2 linked regions of the Anolis sagrei genome follow. The protein of the gene in region 1 binds, or shares a complex with, the protein of each later gene. Links are inferred from orthologs where the notes say so. Each region holds a gene or a part of one and is shown on either strand. Other genes may lie near its edges. The genes, in order: KAT6B and BRPF3.

What was found.
Region 2: KAT6B (region 1) and BRPF3 share a complex: the UniProt entries of both Homo sapiens proteins name them as parts of the MOZ/MORF complex. The link is inferred for Anolis sagrei from reciprocal best matches to the Homo sapiens genes KAT6B and BRPF3.

The regions. Positions count from the first base shown.
Region 1 is NC_090023.1:148,791,454-148,799,535, forward strand, and holds the start of KAT6B (histone acetyltransferase KAT6B), read left to right. Parts: upstream 1-2,640; 5' UTR 2,641-2,851; intron 2,852-3,885; exon of another isoform or gene 3,886-3,972; intron 3,973-8,060; 5' UTR 8,061-8,082. UniProt on the Homo sapiens protein: Histone acetyltransferase which may be involved in both positive and negative regulation of transcription. Required for RUNX2-dependent transcriptional activation. May be involved in cerebral cortex development.
Region 2 is NC_090024.1:186,394,933-186,403,014, forward strand, and holds the start of BRPF3 (bromodomain and PHD finger-containing protein 3), read left to right. Parts: upstream 1-3,556; 5' UTR 3,557-4,150; intron 4,151-8,082. UniProt on the Homo sapiens protein: Scaffold subunit of various histone acetyltransferase (HAT) complexes, such as the MOZ/MORF and HBO1 complexes, which have a histone H3 acetyltransferase activity.

The sequences.
Region 1 (8,082 bases):
TATGTTTATATTGTATGTATATGTGTATGTGTATGTCTATGTATATATGTGTGCATACTTTATGTATATAGGTGTGTATGTATATGTGTATATGTATGATTATATTTATATATGTGTGTGTATATGCATGCATGTGTTTATATTTGTATGTATATGCATATATGTGCTTGTATATATATGTATGCATATATGTGAATGTACATGTGTATGTGCATGTGTATATATGTGTATGTATATATGTGTATGTTGTATTTGTATATGTATATATATTGGGTGTGTGTTTATATTTGCATGTGTATATTTGTGTATATGTATATATGTTTATATTTGTATATATGTGTTTATATTTGTATGTATATATGTGTGTGTTTATATTTGTATGTATATGTGCATATATATATGTGTGTGTTTGTATATTTATATGTGCATGCATATGTGTATGTTTACATTTATATGTACAGATGTGCATGCATATGTGTATGTTTATATTTGTATATGTAGGTATGTGTATGTTTATATTTGTGTGTACTGTATATATGTATGTACAAGTGAATGTTTATATTTGTATGTATATGCATATATGTATGTATATATATGTATATATGTGCATGTACTTGTGCATATGAATATATGTGTAGGTTTGTATTTGTATGCATATATATGTATGTATGTTTTTGTTGTTCATTCGTTCAGTCACTTCCGACTCTTCATGACCTCATGAACCAGCCCATGCCAGAGCTTCCTGTCGGCTCCTTATCTTTTCTGGCTAACCTCTGGCATTGTGCATTTACAGTGTATGTATATATGTATATTTATATTTGTATATATATGGGGATATATTTCTATGCGGATGTATATGTATGTTTATATTTGTGTGTATATGCATATGTATGTATGCATATATGTGCATGTACTTATCTGTATATATATGTGGGTATTTATTTATTTTTATTTATTTGATGCATTTATTAACCGCCATTCTCAGCCCATTAGGGCGACTCATGGCGTATGCATATATATATATGCATGTGTATATGATGAATGGGTATCAAGGAGGAATTCTGTGTGGCACCCACAAACTTGGCAGCTGCTCAAGCCTAGCAGATGTATGTATATGTGTGTGTTTATATTTGTATGTATATGTGCATATATATGTGTGTGTGTGCATATTTATATGTGCATCCATATGTGTATGTTTACATTTATATGTAAAGATGTGCATGCATATGTGTATCTTTATATTTGTATATGTGGGTATGTGTATATTTGTATACTGTATATATGTATGTATAAGTGAATGTTTATATTCGTATATATATGCATATGTGTATGTGTATATATATATATATATATACATATATGCATATATGTGCATGTACATGTGCATATGTATGTATGTGCAGGTTTGTATTTGTATGTATATATGTGGGTGTGCGTTTATATTTGTATGTATATATATATATATATATATATATGTATTTGTTGTTCATTCATTCAGTCACTTCTGACTCTTCATGACTTCATGAGCCAGCCCATGCCAGAGCAACCTGTCAGCCGTCACCACCCCCAGCTCCTTCAAGGTCCTTATCTCTTCTGGCTAACCTCTGGAGTTGTGCATTTACTGTGTATGTATATATGTATATTTCTATTTGTAAACAAAGATCTGCATAGTCAAAGCCATGGTATTCCCTGTAGTAACCTACGGATGTGAGAGCTGGACCTTAGGGAAGGCTGAGTGAAGGAAGATCGATGCTTTTGAACTGTGGTGTTGGAGGAAAGTGCTGAGAGTGCCGTGGACTGCGAGAAGATCCAACCAGTCCATCCTCCAGGAAATAAAGCCCAGAGGGAAGGATACTGGAGACATTGGAGGGAAGGATACTGGAGACAAAGTTGAAATACTTTGGCCACATCATGAGGAGACAGCAAAGCCTAGAGAAGACAATGATGATGGGGAAAGTGGAAGAAAAAAAGGAAGAGGGGCTGACCAAGGGCAAGATGGATGGATGGCATCCTTGAAGTGACCGGACTGACCTTGAAGGAGCTGGGGGTGGTGACAGCTGACAGGGAGCTCTGGCGTAGGCTGGCCCATGAGGTCCCGAAGAGTCGGAGATGACTAAACAAATGAACAACAACAACAAAATATGCCTATCTATGTATGTATGCATATATGTCCATGTACATATGTGTATACATGTGAGTATGCATATATGTGTATGCATGTGTATATGATGGATGGGTATCAAGGAGGAATTCTGTGTGGCACCCACAAACTTGGCAGCTGCTCAAGCCTAGCAGAGAAGAGGTTGTTGTGTGACTGAGTCTTGTACCTGAAGGAGGGCCACCTTTGTAGAGAGAAGGCAGGCATGGGGAGCGTGGAGAAGCGAGGAAAGGGGGGGGGGTCCCCAAGTTGGTACCAGGTTGGGGGGGTAGGCAGCCCCTTCTTCCAGCTCTGAGGACAAAAGGCGCTCCCAGCCCTGCGGATGCCTCCTTGGCGAAGGGGCCCCTTGCCTTGGGATGGCGCCCCTCCTTCCCTCCTCCCTCCCTGCCTCCGTCCAGCCAGCCAGCCAGCCATCTAGCCAGCCTCCCCCTTCCTTCCTCCCCTTCCCTTTCCCCTCCTCCTCCTCCTCCCCCTCCCTCCCGAGGAGCTCCGTTTCCCACTTGCCAGGAGCAGATTAAAAAAAAGAGAGAGAAAGAAAAAAAAAACCCCGCAACAACCCAGAAAACGGGGAGGGACCTCTTCTGTCAGAGCCTTATGTAGATTAACCTTTCAATTAGCCGTGATCAAGTCCCTGCTTTTAGAGCCCACCACCACCACCGGGTCCGGGAGACAAATCTGCAGCCACCAAGAAAGGTCGGATGGGGGGGAATTGATGGATGGATGGATTGGTTTGCAAAAGATTGGATTCTTTGGAAGGGGGAGGGAAAGGAGGATGAGGATGGGGAGGATTCCTCCCGTTGGAGTGCTTCTGCTTCCCAATCTCTGGGGGTTTTTGTGTGGGGTGTGTTTTGGGATTGTTGTGGAGCAGGGAAATCGATAGTTTGGGGGGAAAGGGTTGTTGTTGTTGGTGGGGTTCTTCTCTTTGCCTTCTCCTCGGAGCCACATTCCTAAGGAGCATCTCTCCTTTCTCTCTCTCTGTCTCCCTCCCGCCAAGGCACGTGTTTACAGAGGATCCGTGCCTTTCCCTCCTCCCTCCCTCCTTATAGACTGCGATTGTTTCCTGCAGGAAATGGGCGGGTTCGGCGGGCCCCGCGTGCCTGGGCAGGCAGCGCGTGCACCCTTCTTCCTCCCTCTCTCTCTCAATCTTTCCCTTCCTTCTGATTTGGAGCTTGTTTTGTTTCCCCTTTCAATTCCGCCCGCCCGCGTGGCGTGAAACTCAATAATAATAACAATAATAATACAGTACTCCCGCGCGCCGCTGATTAGTATGTGTCGCGTGCCCTCCCGCACGCCGAAAGCGCCCCCCGCTCTATTCCCACAGATTACAAACTTCAGGATGAAACCGAAGCAAAGGCAAAAAAAAGGGAGGCTGCTTGAGCTTGATTGATAGCTTCACTAGCCTATTAAACAAGCCAAAGCGTGCCTCCCTTTTCTCTCTCTCTCAATCTTCGTCCCTCCCCCTTTTTATGTGTAATTGCCAGCCAACTAGGATCGTGGACAGCGACAGTGCATTTTTTTCCCTCCCCCGACTATAGGATTGATTGACAGCACTCACCGTCCAATGGCGTGCTAGGTCTAAATGGGTTGGTGGAGAGGAATGACGAGAGGCAGGGCGCTGCCGCCAATGAGCGCGGCGGTTTGAACGAAGAGGCGGGGCGTCCACCAAGGGGAGGGCAAGCGAGGGAGGGGGGGCAGAGGCTGTAATGAGCCTACATCGGGCTGTCATCGGGTGTCATGTCGGATGCGCGGTGACTGCGAGAGGGCGAGACAAAATGGCGGCAGCGAAGGCGGCTTGAAAGGCGAAGGGCGGCGAGGTGAGAAGCGGTGGCGGCGCGGGCGCTGCCCGAGGAGGAGGGAACTTGGGCGGCGGCGGGGAGGCCGGCAGGGGGCGCAGCTGGGGCTTGCCTTGGCTCCTCCCCCCGGCGGAGGGTGGGTCGCGAGCGCCCCCCGGCGGACGAGGCGAGGCAAGCAGGGGCCTCGCGCCCTCGTTGCAGGTGGCGCGCGCGAGGAGAGAGGGGGGGCGTGGGGCGGGGCCAGCTATGCAAATCAACCCTGTGAGGGCAACTGGATGGGCTTGGAGTTATTGGATGGGTAAATAAGAGGCCTGCTATGCAGAGCTGAAGGAAGCGTTGGTTGGGCGCGTGCCTTTGAACGTGGCCTCTGAGAGGCTTGGGGAGGAGAGCTCAGGACCCTTCCACACAGCTGTATAAAATCCCACATTATCTGCTTTGAACTGGGTTATATGGCAGTATGGGCTCAGGGCAGCCCTATATCCCAGAGTATCAAGGCAGAAAACCCCACAATATCTGCTTTGAAACTGGGTTATATGGCAGTATGGGCTCAGGGCAGCCCTACATCCCATAATATCAAGGCAGAAAATCCCACAATATCTGCTTTGAAACTGGGTTATATGGCAGTATGGGCTCAGGGCAGCCCTACATCCCATAATATCAAGGCAGAAAATACCACTATATCTGTTTTGAACAGGGTTATATGGCAGTATGGGCTCAGGGCAGCCCTACATCCCAGAATATCAAGGCAGAAAACCCCACAATATCTGCTTTGAACTGGGTTAGCTGAGAACACACAGAGATATTGTGGGATTTTCTGCTTTGATATTCTGGGTTATAGGGCTGTGGGGAAGGGTCCCGAGGGGCTCCTGAGGAAAACAATCTGAGTACGCTTCCACACAGGCATATAACCCAGAATATCAAGGCAGTAAATCCCACAATATCTGCTTTGAACTGGGTTATATGGCAGTATGGGCTCAGGGCAGCCCTGTATCCCAGAATATCAAGGCAGAAAATCCCACAATATCTGCATTGAACTGGGTTATATGGCAGTATGGGCTCAGGGCAGCCCTGTATCCCAGAATATCAAGGCAGAAAATCCCACAAGATCTGCATTGAACTGGGTTATATGGCAGTATGGGCTCAGGGCAGCCCTACATCCCAGAATATCAAGGCAGAAAACCCCACAATATCTGCTTTGAACTGGGTTATATGGCAGTATTGGCTTAGGGCAACCCTATATCCCAGAATATCATGGCAGAAAACCCCATAATATCTGCTTTGAACTGGGTTATATGGCAGTATGGGCTCAGGGCAGCCCTATTTCCCAGAATATCAAGGCAGAAAATCCCACAATATCTGATTTGAACTGGGTTGTATGAGTCCACACAGAGGTATTGTGGGATTTTCTGTTTTTATATTCTGGGTTATAGGGCTGTGGGGAAGGGTCCTGAGGAGTTCCTGAGAAAAACAATCTGAGGGTGCTTCCACACAGGCATATAACCCAGAATATCAAGGCAGAAGATCCCACAATATCTGCTTTAAACTGGGTTATCTGAGTCCACACAGAGATAATGTGGGATTTTCTGACTTGATATTCTGGGATATAGGGCTGTGTGGCAGGGCCCTTAGATATCCCAGTTCAAAGCAGATATTCTGGATCATCTGCCATGATATTCTGGGTCATATGGCTGTTTGGAAGGGTCCTCACTTTGTTTTTCTCAAGAGTCCCTCAGGACCCTTCCTCACAGCCATGTAACCCAGAATATCAAAGCAGAAAATCCCACAATATCTGCTTTGAATAGGGTCATCAGAGCCTATTGCACACTGCCATATATCCCAGTTCAAAGCAGATATTCTGGATTTTTCTGCTTTGTTTCTAGGTTATATGGCTGTGTGGAAGGGCTCTCAGGTTGTTTTTCTCAAGAGCCCCTCAGGACCCTTCCATACAGCTATATAACCCAGAATATTAAAGCAGAAAATCCTACAATATCTGCTTTGAATAGGCTCATCAGAGTCCAACCTGCCATATATTCCAGTTCAAAGCAGATAATGTGGGATTTTATTCAGCTGTGTGGAAGGAGCCTCGGATAACCCAGTTCAAAGCAGATATTCTGGAGTATCTGCCTTAATATTCTGGGTTATATGGCTGTGTGGAAGGGCCTTTAGTTTGTCTTTCTCAACAGCCCCTCAGGACCCTTCTACATAGCCAGAATATTCAGACAGAAAACCCCACAGGATCTGCTTTGAACTAGGTTATCTGAGTCCACACTGCCATATATTCTAGTTCAAAGCAGAAAATGTAGGATTTTATTCAGCTGTGTCAAAGGGGGCTCAGATAACTCAGTTCAAAGCAGATATTGTGGATTACCTGCCTTAATATTCTGGGTTATATGGCTGTGTTGGAAGGACCCTGAGTCCAAACTGCCATATTATCCAGTTCAACGTGGATTTTATACAGCTGTATGGATGTGGCCTCAGTCAGGTAGAGTACCTTCAGCCTGTGGCCCACCAGTTGTTTGGGCCTCCAACTTCCAGAATTCCTGACCATTGAACAAGCTAGCTAAGAGTCCTGAGAGTTGGAGGCCCAAACAACTGGTGGGCTGCACTGTGATTCAGTGCATAGAACTTCCTTTTTGTATGTCTGGTACTTCATAGTTGGGCAGTCTATAAATGGTGGCATTGAGACCACCTCCCAAAGAGTTTTTGGTTTGAAATGAATATAGTGGGGAACTAAAGCAGTCCTGGGTAAACTTTGGTTCTCCAATTGTTTTGGACTTCAGCTTGCACATTTCCTAGCAGCTGGTAGGCTGTCAGGAATTGTGAGAGTTGGAAGTCCAAAATACCTGGAGAACCGAAGTATGCTCATGTCTGAACTAGAGTAAGAAGGTGTGGATATACTTAGTTTCTAAGCTTTCCAGTTTTCATTTCATGAAAAGGGCTAATGAGTCTCTGTTTCCTGCCAAAGTTTTGTGGGGTTTTTTTGGTTTGTTTTTTTTGTTTTGCTTGGGTTTCTAGGAGATGCATATCAACCACATGTGGTTGTCTGCACCATTCCTATCCCTGCTTTATCCTGTTCTCTTTCAGAAAGCTCAGGATAATTCTGTGGTTTTCACCCTTTTCCTTTTTACCCTTGCAACCATCCTTTCATACAGTCATAACTGCAAGAGACCTCGCAATGCCATCCAATCCAACCCCCTACCATGCAGGAAAATTGCAATCAAAGGGCTCCCGACAGATGGCCATCAGCCTCTGTTTAAAAGCCTCCAAGGAAGGAGCCTTCATCACACTCCAATGCAGAGAGTTCCACTATTGAACAGCTTTCACGGTCAAGGAGTTCTTCCTAATGTTCAGGTGGAATTTGAACCCTTTAAATAGAGAGAGTCAGGCAGAAATGCCTCATAGAAAGTATTGTTGCCATGTGGCAAAGAAATCTGCTAAGTGTTGATGCCACTCTGACCTCTGGGCGGCACACAAACCCAACAGGGGCGTACTCTCCATTTCTAAAGTGATTGCGGATCACTTTTTATTTTATTTTAGGGAAAGGTTGTCATTTAGGTAGCCAAGTTCAGGCTGTCAAAATGTTAATAACACCAATATTAGTAGCTTGCATTGGGCTCTGGGTTTGATAGATAGCCAGAACCACTAGCCTATTATTATTATTATTATTATTATTATTATTATTATTATTATATCCCATTTTATTATCTTATGTGAGACTCAGTGGCTCACAACACTAAAAACAATACAAATTACAATTTGAAACCTACAACATATACACATTGTTATATTGGGAAAATGGTTAGTGGTTGCATATAATCATGTAGTATTTCAACAGAGGAAATTGAAAGAACAATTGTCATAAAATTAGCTGATCTGTTTGTTTTCTCAAGTATTGTCAATTATTGCCATTTCCTAAGACTGAAGTGCAAATTTTAAGAGGAGAATGTGAAGTATACTTACTTTGTAAAATAGTCTCTTATTTTTATTCTCATAGAGGTGCAGTTTCTTTGATAAAATTGTGTTCACCTAAATTCTTAATGATGTGAAAAGTTTTTTTATTGTGTAATGAGATTAATCACCTGTTTTTTTTTGTTTGTTTTTTACTCTAGGTTTTTATGAAGACCTGGAGAT
Region 2 (8,082 bases), on another chromosome or scaffold:
CATGTGCTTCTCATGTAATAAGTAGTATTATTAGATTTTCTATCTCCTCTGAAATAAAGAACATCCTCTTAAGCTGGTAACACTGAGAAACCATCTTTTTTCTTGAATGGAATGAAATCCCTTGGAATTAGGTTATCTGAAGGTTCACAGAAATTTCAGTTACATTATATTTAACAGAAGTCAGTGCATGAGGGACAAGCCCAGCTCTGTCTGAAAAACAGCTACTCTAGTCCTTTGCTTAGCCCTGTGTGAGTGTGTCAATATGCCTTCAAGTCACCTCTCAATTTGTGGCAACTCCATGCATTTCGTAGGGTTGTGTAGGCAAGGAATACTCAAGAGGTGGTTTAGGCATTTCCTTCCTCTAAAATACTGCGTACTGCACACAGTATTCATTGGCTGTTTCTCAACAAAATACCACCCAGGTTCCAGGACTAGATGGGATCTAGTATCTTCAGGTTATTTAAGTGGATGCCTAGCCCTTTAAATACTATAGTATCAAACCAGAAATAGGTTGCTTCCTGAAAATAACAGTGCAACAGTATTTTGAAGACACAACTCATGTCAGTTGCAATTTATAGCATACTATTTATTCCACAACTGTTACACATATAGGGCTATAAACTGCCTTCCTGTTGAAGTTCAAGATGGAGGGATGGTATCCTTGAAGTGACTGGCTTGATTCTGAAGGAGCTGGGGGTGGTGACAGCCGACAGGGAACTCTGGCGTGGGCTGGTCCATGAGGTCACAAAGAGTTGGAAGCGAGTAAATGAATAAACAACAACATCCATTTCCTCCGGTTGATGTTTGCTTTGTAAAATTTGGGCTCAGCGCTCTAATCTGTTAGGATTGTTTGGGATTCTGATCCTGGGGTATTACCTAACCCTTTCAATTTGGCATCATTGAGGTACGCTATACTCACCTTTCAATTTTCACTTAAGTGTATCCATTTCCCCCGGTTGAGGATCACTTTGTGAAATTTGGGTCCAGCGCTCTAATCTGTTGGGAGTCTGATCCTATCCTCTGGGATATTCATTATCCCTCCCATTTTGGTGGATAACAAACTTGACAAACTTTGGTTGGCTTTTTGTAAATCAATGCAGATGTTTTACTGTTTAGGTTTTATGTCATATAAATTTGTTTGCATACGTTTTGTTTAATTTATTGATGTTAGGTTTTGATGTTATTTTCATATGTGGGGTTATTTTGGATTACTCGTTAACGTTTGTTTTATCAAAGCGATGAATGCTTGTCTTTTTGTTTGTTGGAATCTGCTCTGAGACCCCTTGGGGAGGTAGGGAGGAATATAAATACAGTTATTATTATTTGTGACATTGAGGTACACGTTTCCATTTTTCTCACCCAAGTGCAGAATCATAATATTGGAGACCACATGGGACATCCAGTCCAACCCCTTGCCATGCAGAAAAAGCAGTCAAAGCATCTCCAACAGATGGCCATCCCACTTGTTTAAAAACCTCTACCACACATCGAGACAGTGAGTTCCACTGTTGCAGTGTGGCCTAGGATAGGGAACACACAATGTCCCTATTAAAACAGCTCCATTGGCTACTGTTAAGTTTTGATGTAAATTCAAACTACAGGTTATTACCTATAAAGCCCTGCTTATCTTTGTGACCGCATACCCCCTATGTACCTGCGCTAGAATCAAGATCTGCTGGGGAGGCCCGCCTCGCAATCCTGCCACCATCCCAAGCACGGTTGGTGGGAACGAGGGAGAGGGCCTTTTCAGTGGTGGTCCCACGGCTTTGGAACACCCTTCCTCAGGGAGATTAGGCAGGCCCCCACATTGTCCTCTTTCAGTAGGGATTTGAAGACTTGGATGTTTAAACAAGCTTTTGAGAATTTCTAGCCCAATGGTCCGCAATTAATGACACAGCACTGCACTTTCATCCCATGCATTGGTTCCTTACAGTTTGCACTATTTCATTCCCTTGTCTTGTTTACAGTTTGGCCATGTCTTACAGCTGTTGTCACCACAGGTTATTGGGCGTTGTTCTGAGTTTTAAATTACTGTTTTTATGTGCTATTGGTTTTACTTTTTCTATTGTAAAAAGTAAAGGTTTTGTTTCCAAATCTGGGGGGTGGTGCTCATTTTCAAGTTGAAGAGCTGGCATTGTCCGTAGACATCTCCAAGTTCATGTGGCCTACATGGTGGGCCGTTACTTTCCCGTCAAAGCGGTGCCTATTGATCTACTCACATTTACATGTTTTCAAACTGCTAAGTTGGTAGAAGCTGGGACTAACAATGGGAGCTCACCCCACTTCCCTGGATTCGAACAGCCAACCTTTCAGTCTGCAAGGTTGTATTGTACTGTTGTTTTGTATTGTACTGTGTGTATATTTTATGCGTTGTTTTTAGGCACTTTGTGCCATATGTAAGCCGGCCTGAATCCCTTCAGGGAGATGGAGAGGTACAAAAATAAAGCTATTATTATTATTATTTTATTGGCATCGGCAAACTTCATCCCTCCAGGTGTTTTGGACTTCAATTCCCACAATCCCTAACAGCCTTAGGCCCTTTCCTTTTCCACCCCAGCCTCTACACCAGGGGTCCTCAAACTAAGACCTGGGGGCCAGATAAGGCCCTCCAAGGTCATTTACCCGGCCCTTGCTCAGGGTCAACCTAAGTCTAAAATGACTTGAAAGCACACAACAACAATCCTATCTCATCAGCCAAAAGCGAGCCTACACTTCTAATTGAAATAGTAATAAGTTGATATTTGTTAAAATTGTCCTTCATTTTAATTATTGTGTTGTTTTAAAGTGTTTTCTGCACTACAAATAAGATATGTGCAGTGGACATAGGAATTCATTCATGTTTTTTTCAAATTATAATCCGGCCCTCCAACAGTTTGAGGGACTGTGATCTGGCCCTCTGTTTAAACCAGGGGTCCACAAACTTTTTAAACAGAGGGCCAGGCCACAGTCCCTCAAACTGTTTAAGGGCCAGATTATAATTTGAAAAAAAATATGAATGAATTCCTATGTCCACTGCACATATCTTATTTGTAGTGCAAAAAACACTTAAAACAATACAATAATTAAAATGAAAATTTCAACAAATATAAAATTATTAGTATTTCAATGGGAAGTGTGGGCCTACTTTTGGCTGATGAGATAGGACTGTTGTTATTGTTGTGTGCTTTCAAGTCATTTCAGACTTTGGTTGACCCTGAGCGAGGGCTGGGTAAATGACCTTGAGGGGCCGCATCCGGCCCCCGGGCCTTAGTTTGAGGACCCCTGCTCTACACTGTTTAACAATGGAACACCTGAACAGTAGGATGAACTTCCTAACTGTGAGAGCTGTTCAGCAGGAGTGCAACAAAGGCTCCTTCTTAGGAGGCTTTTAAGCAGAGGCTGGATGGCCATCTGTTGGGGGTGCTTTGAATGCGATTTTCCTGCTTCTTGGCAGGGGGCTGGACTGGATGGCCCACAAGGTCTCTTCCAACTCTATGAGGGCCGAAGTTTGCCCATGCCTGGTGTGGATGATACACTTCTCCCTGCTGAAGTCCATTTTGTGGAGTTGGGTGCAGCGCTGTAGGCTGATCCTGTCCTCTGGGGAATCGGCTCTCCCTCCCTCATCGGGCCAGCACTGAGGTCAACCCTCCCTGCCTCCCTCCCTCCCAGTGCCCCTCAAGGAAGGCAGCCACTCAGTCAGTCCCAGGGCTTCCCGGGGCAAGAGAGGAGCACCTGGGAGGCGCCTCCAGCCCTGCGTCGCCTACCTCGGCCTCCCCTCGCCCTCGCCCCCGGGGCCTCCAAGACTCGTGTCCAGGGAGGAAACGCAAGGGGGGGCGGTCCCTGTCCGGGGGGGGGGGAGCGAAAGGGAGCGGCGCGGCGGCAGTAGCAGGAGCAGCCCCCTCCCTCGCCGCCTCCTTCTCCCCCTCCTTCGCTCTCTCCCTCCATCGCTTGGCCGGGCTTGGCGCTCCTGCTGCTGCTGCTCCCACGGCCGCCTCCATCTTGCCGCCTTCCCCCTTTCCTGCCCTGCAACAGGAGCCGCGGAAGAGAGCGGCTGAAGAGCTGCGGGCGACGAGGGGGCGGCGCTGAGCCGACATTTTGTGCCCCCTCCCTTCCTCCCTCCCTCAGCGACGGCGCCAACGGCAGACGGCGAGGCAGCGGCCCAGGAAGGCAAGTAAGCGCCCGCTTTATCCGTGACTCTCTCTCCCTCTCCCCCTTCTCTCTCTCTCTGATAATACCCTCAGGGTCGTGGGAAGGTGACTTATCGTGAAGGGCTTGGCGGGACCGACACAGGCTCGGCCCGCTTCCGAAACACTTGGCAAGGCTCACTTTCCAAAGCGCCGCCTCCTGAGGTGAAGGAGGAAGACAACCTAAACGGGGAGCGCGGGGGGGACAGGGGAGAGCGAGCCCCGCCATCTTGTTTTCCCTCACCACCGGGAAGCCTTAGCCACGCCCACCTTCCCCTTCCCTATTGGACGGCGTAGCTCCCGCCCGCGAGCTGGGCGCTGCTATGGGTGATGGGCAGCGCCGGTGTCCAATGAGAGCGCGGCTGCCGCTGTTTCTCTTACCTGTCGAGGGATATTCCCCCCCCCCCTTTCCCGCTGGTCGATGTTGGCACTGTGGGCTCCTTGAGGCCTCTGGGTCACGTGATCAAGGCCTGCATCCTGATATATCCTCCAGTTTCTGTGCAGAGGCCTGGTTTATTTTTTCCCTCACTGTGAACCTCCTGGGGACTCTTGAGTGGCCACAGCTGCCGTGCTAATGCTTAAATCCTGAGGCAATTCAATGCACTCTGTACCTTTCCCAAAAGGCAGCTCATTTGTACACAATTGGCATAGCTTCTGGTCACACACTGAGGCAGTGAGTTCCACTATTGAACAGTGTAGACTAGTCATGGGCAAGCTCGGGCCCTTCAGGTGTTTTGGATTTCAACTCCCACAATTCCCAACAGTCTCAGGTCCATTCTATTTCCCCTGAGGCTGTTAGGAATTGTGGGAGTTGAAATCCAAAACACCTAGTAGCACAAGCTTGCCCATGCCTGTTCTGGCCCATATAGTACCAGAGTCACCAGGAAGTTGAGGCAAAATACACATTATTATTATTATTATTATTATTATTATTATTATTATTTTGGTCGTGTTAGGAGTGACTTGAGAAACTGCAAGTCTCTTCTGGTGTGAGAGAATTGGCTGTCTGGAAGGACGTTGCCCAGGGGATGCTCGGATGTTGTGATGTTTTAACATCCTTGTGGGAGGCTTCTCTCATGTCCCTGCATGAGGAGCTGGAGCTGATAGAGGGAGCTCATCCGTGCTCTTCACGGATTTGAACCTTCGACCTGTCGGTCTTCAGTTCTGCTGGCACAGGGGTTTATTATTATTATTATTATTATTATTATTATTATTATTTGAAACACAACAAGATGAGTCCACAACAGACAAGATCACTCTGCTGGTTGTTGTATTCGATCACACGTTGGACACTTCCCAAGTGTCTAGGACTGTGTGATGTATCGGCGAATAATGCATGCAGATCCCAGTAAGGTTGCCATTTGCCTCTGGCAGATGGTAATTTTGTCAGCGCCAATTGTGTTGAAGTGCAGGCCAAGGTCTTTAGGCACTGCACCCAGTGTGCCAATCACTGGGACTACCTTGACTGGCTTGTGGCAGAGTCTTTGCAGTTAGATCTTTAAATCCTTGTACCGTGTCAGCTTTTCCAGTTGTTTCTCTTCAATTCTGCTGTCACCTGGGATTGCAACATTGACAATCCATACTTATTATTATTTGTATTTATATCCCACTTTACCTTTCATACAAACCCTAAAAGTTCAAAACATTAGAAATCTTTTGTACCTAAAATGCTACATAAGTTCCTGTTCATATCAGCGATTTAACTTGACCTGGAAAAAAGATTGTGGTCTGACACGCGATGCATCCACATTGTAGAGTTAATGCAGTTTTCTACAACTTTAACTGGGCCTTGAATAGAGAGACAACTAAGCTAAGCACATTTTGGTGAGTTTTTTTCTTAATGTTGTGGCTGTGTGGAATAGGAGCGAGTAAATTGTGAAGTGTTGACACATTTCATACTCAATGGCAACAAGTTTATTTTCCTGCCACATGGTAACATTCACTAACCAAGACCAGGTTCTCCTTAGAACAGGTTGTGCTCATTCTTAAGCAAGAAAATTAATTGCATTTTTCCACTGCTTTCATTTCTGCCTCCCGTCAGAAAAGGAAGAAAACATTTCACCCCTCACAGAAAAGAGTGCATCTATTCCTTCTAATATCTTTCTCTGTGGCTCAGTCATTTTTCTCCATCTTGGTTTCTGTTCCTCAGATTGCAGGATTTATTTATATCGTATCAAAAGCATTGCATAAATAAGTATAAAACTGATAAAAATAGAAGGAGCCCAGGCGGCTAAATATTTTTTGACCACAGACAGGCAACAGCGACCGCATTGTCTGTAGCTTTAAACAGTTCTTCCTCTGTAGGATTTATGTCAACTAGTAATGCATGTTAAAAGCCAAAGATTGGTCACATTAGTGTTTCTCTGTGTTTCTTGCCTTGGCCCTGGTCGCTCCTTAGGAATTCTGGGTCTCAGTGCTGAAAATACAGCAGTAGTGTCAGCTAGCAGATTTCTCTTGTTCTGGTCTTGAATATTATAGCCTTCAGTACCTTCCCTTGCCTCCTCCCTCCCTTCTTTCCTTCCCTCCCTCCCCTTCTCTCTCTCAGGGTGCATCTACACCAGGCAGGGGAATATTTTAGCCCTCCAGGTGTTTTGGACTTCAACTCCCACAATTCCTAAAATCTGGTAAGCTGTTAGGAATTGTGGGAGTTGAAGTCCAAAACACCTGGAGGGACAAAGTTTATCCATTCCTGATCTACACTGTAGAAATAATGCATTTTGACACCACTTTATCTGCGGTGGCTTAATGATATGGAGTCCTGGGAGCTATAGTTTTACACGGTCTTTAGCCTTCACAGCCAAAGAGCACTGGTGCCCCACTATACTATAAATGGCATTATTCCAAAGCCTTGCGTCATGGCAGTTAAAATTCATCAGATTCCATCAATTTGGCAATGTAGATGCATCCTTAAGCCCACTTTCTCTTTGTGCCCTTTCCTTCAATGCATCACCCACCGTTTCATCAGGTCCCAGCACCCCTTGACCCTCTTTCCTGATACTCCTTTCTCACTTTTCCTTCTGACTTTAAGCACTTCAAGTTGCCCCCCCCCCATCTTACCATAATTACTTGTCTGAACATCTGTCCTTTTTATCCAGCCTCTCTCCATAATTGCCTTCCTTAGCTTTTAGATCTCCCACGTCCAAAGGACTCTTCCTTTACTTTAACCAGCTTGCTTGAATTTTTAATTCTAGTCAAACTCACAGCTTATCCTATTAAGTTGCGACTCAAAGCTCCCCGATCAACATATTGAAAATAACTATTTCTATAGTTTTGCATGCATTAAATATATAGTCTTGTTTGTCTTTGATTCAGCAGTGGAAAGCTCATAGGGTCAAAGGAGTAGTGTCACAAATTTTATAGATAGAAAGCAAATTTTATTGTATTATATGTATAATTGGATACCAGAGAGATAAATTAAAAAATCTACTGAATTTCAGCAGAAAAAATGTGCTATTGTTAGCTGATGATGGCTGGCATGTTCAGACACATGGTAACAATACTGAAGAAGTCTGATCTGTTGGTCAATGCTTGAGATAGGCAAGGACTGAGATAGTGGAAAGGATGGAGAAAAAGTAAAGTCATCGAAGGAAGAAAGAATTGAAATGTAGTGTCTTACTGCAGGTGAGTCTGCTGTAGGGCACCAAAGCAAATGTTCTTGGTCCACAAATTGCTTTGCTCTAATGTATGGAAGAAGTGTGGCATTGTATAACAGCAGGAAGCCAGAAAGAAAATCACACAAAATAAGCACGTACTTCCCCTAATATGCCTTTGCAATTACGAATAATCTTTATAATAAATTACAATAACTGCAAAGGTAGCTTAAAGTTAGAATTATTTGGTTATTGAAAATCATGGAATTGCAAAATATGCATTGTTCTATTTATATTTTTAATTGGTAATCTTACATATGCATAAATAA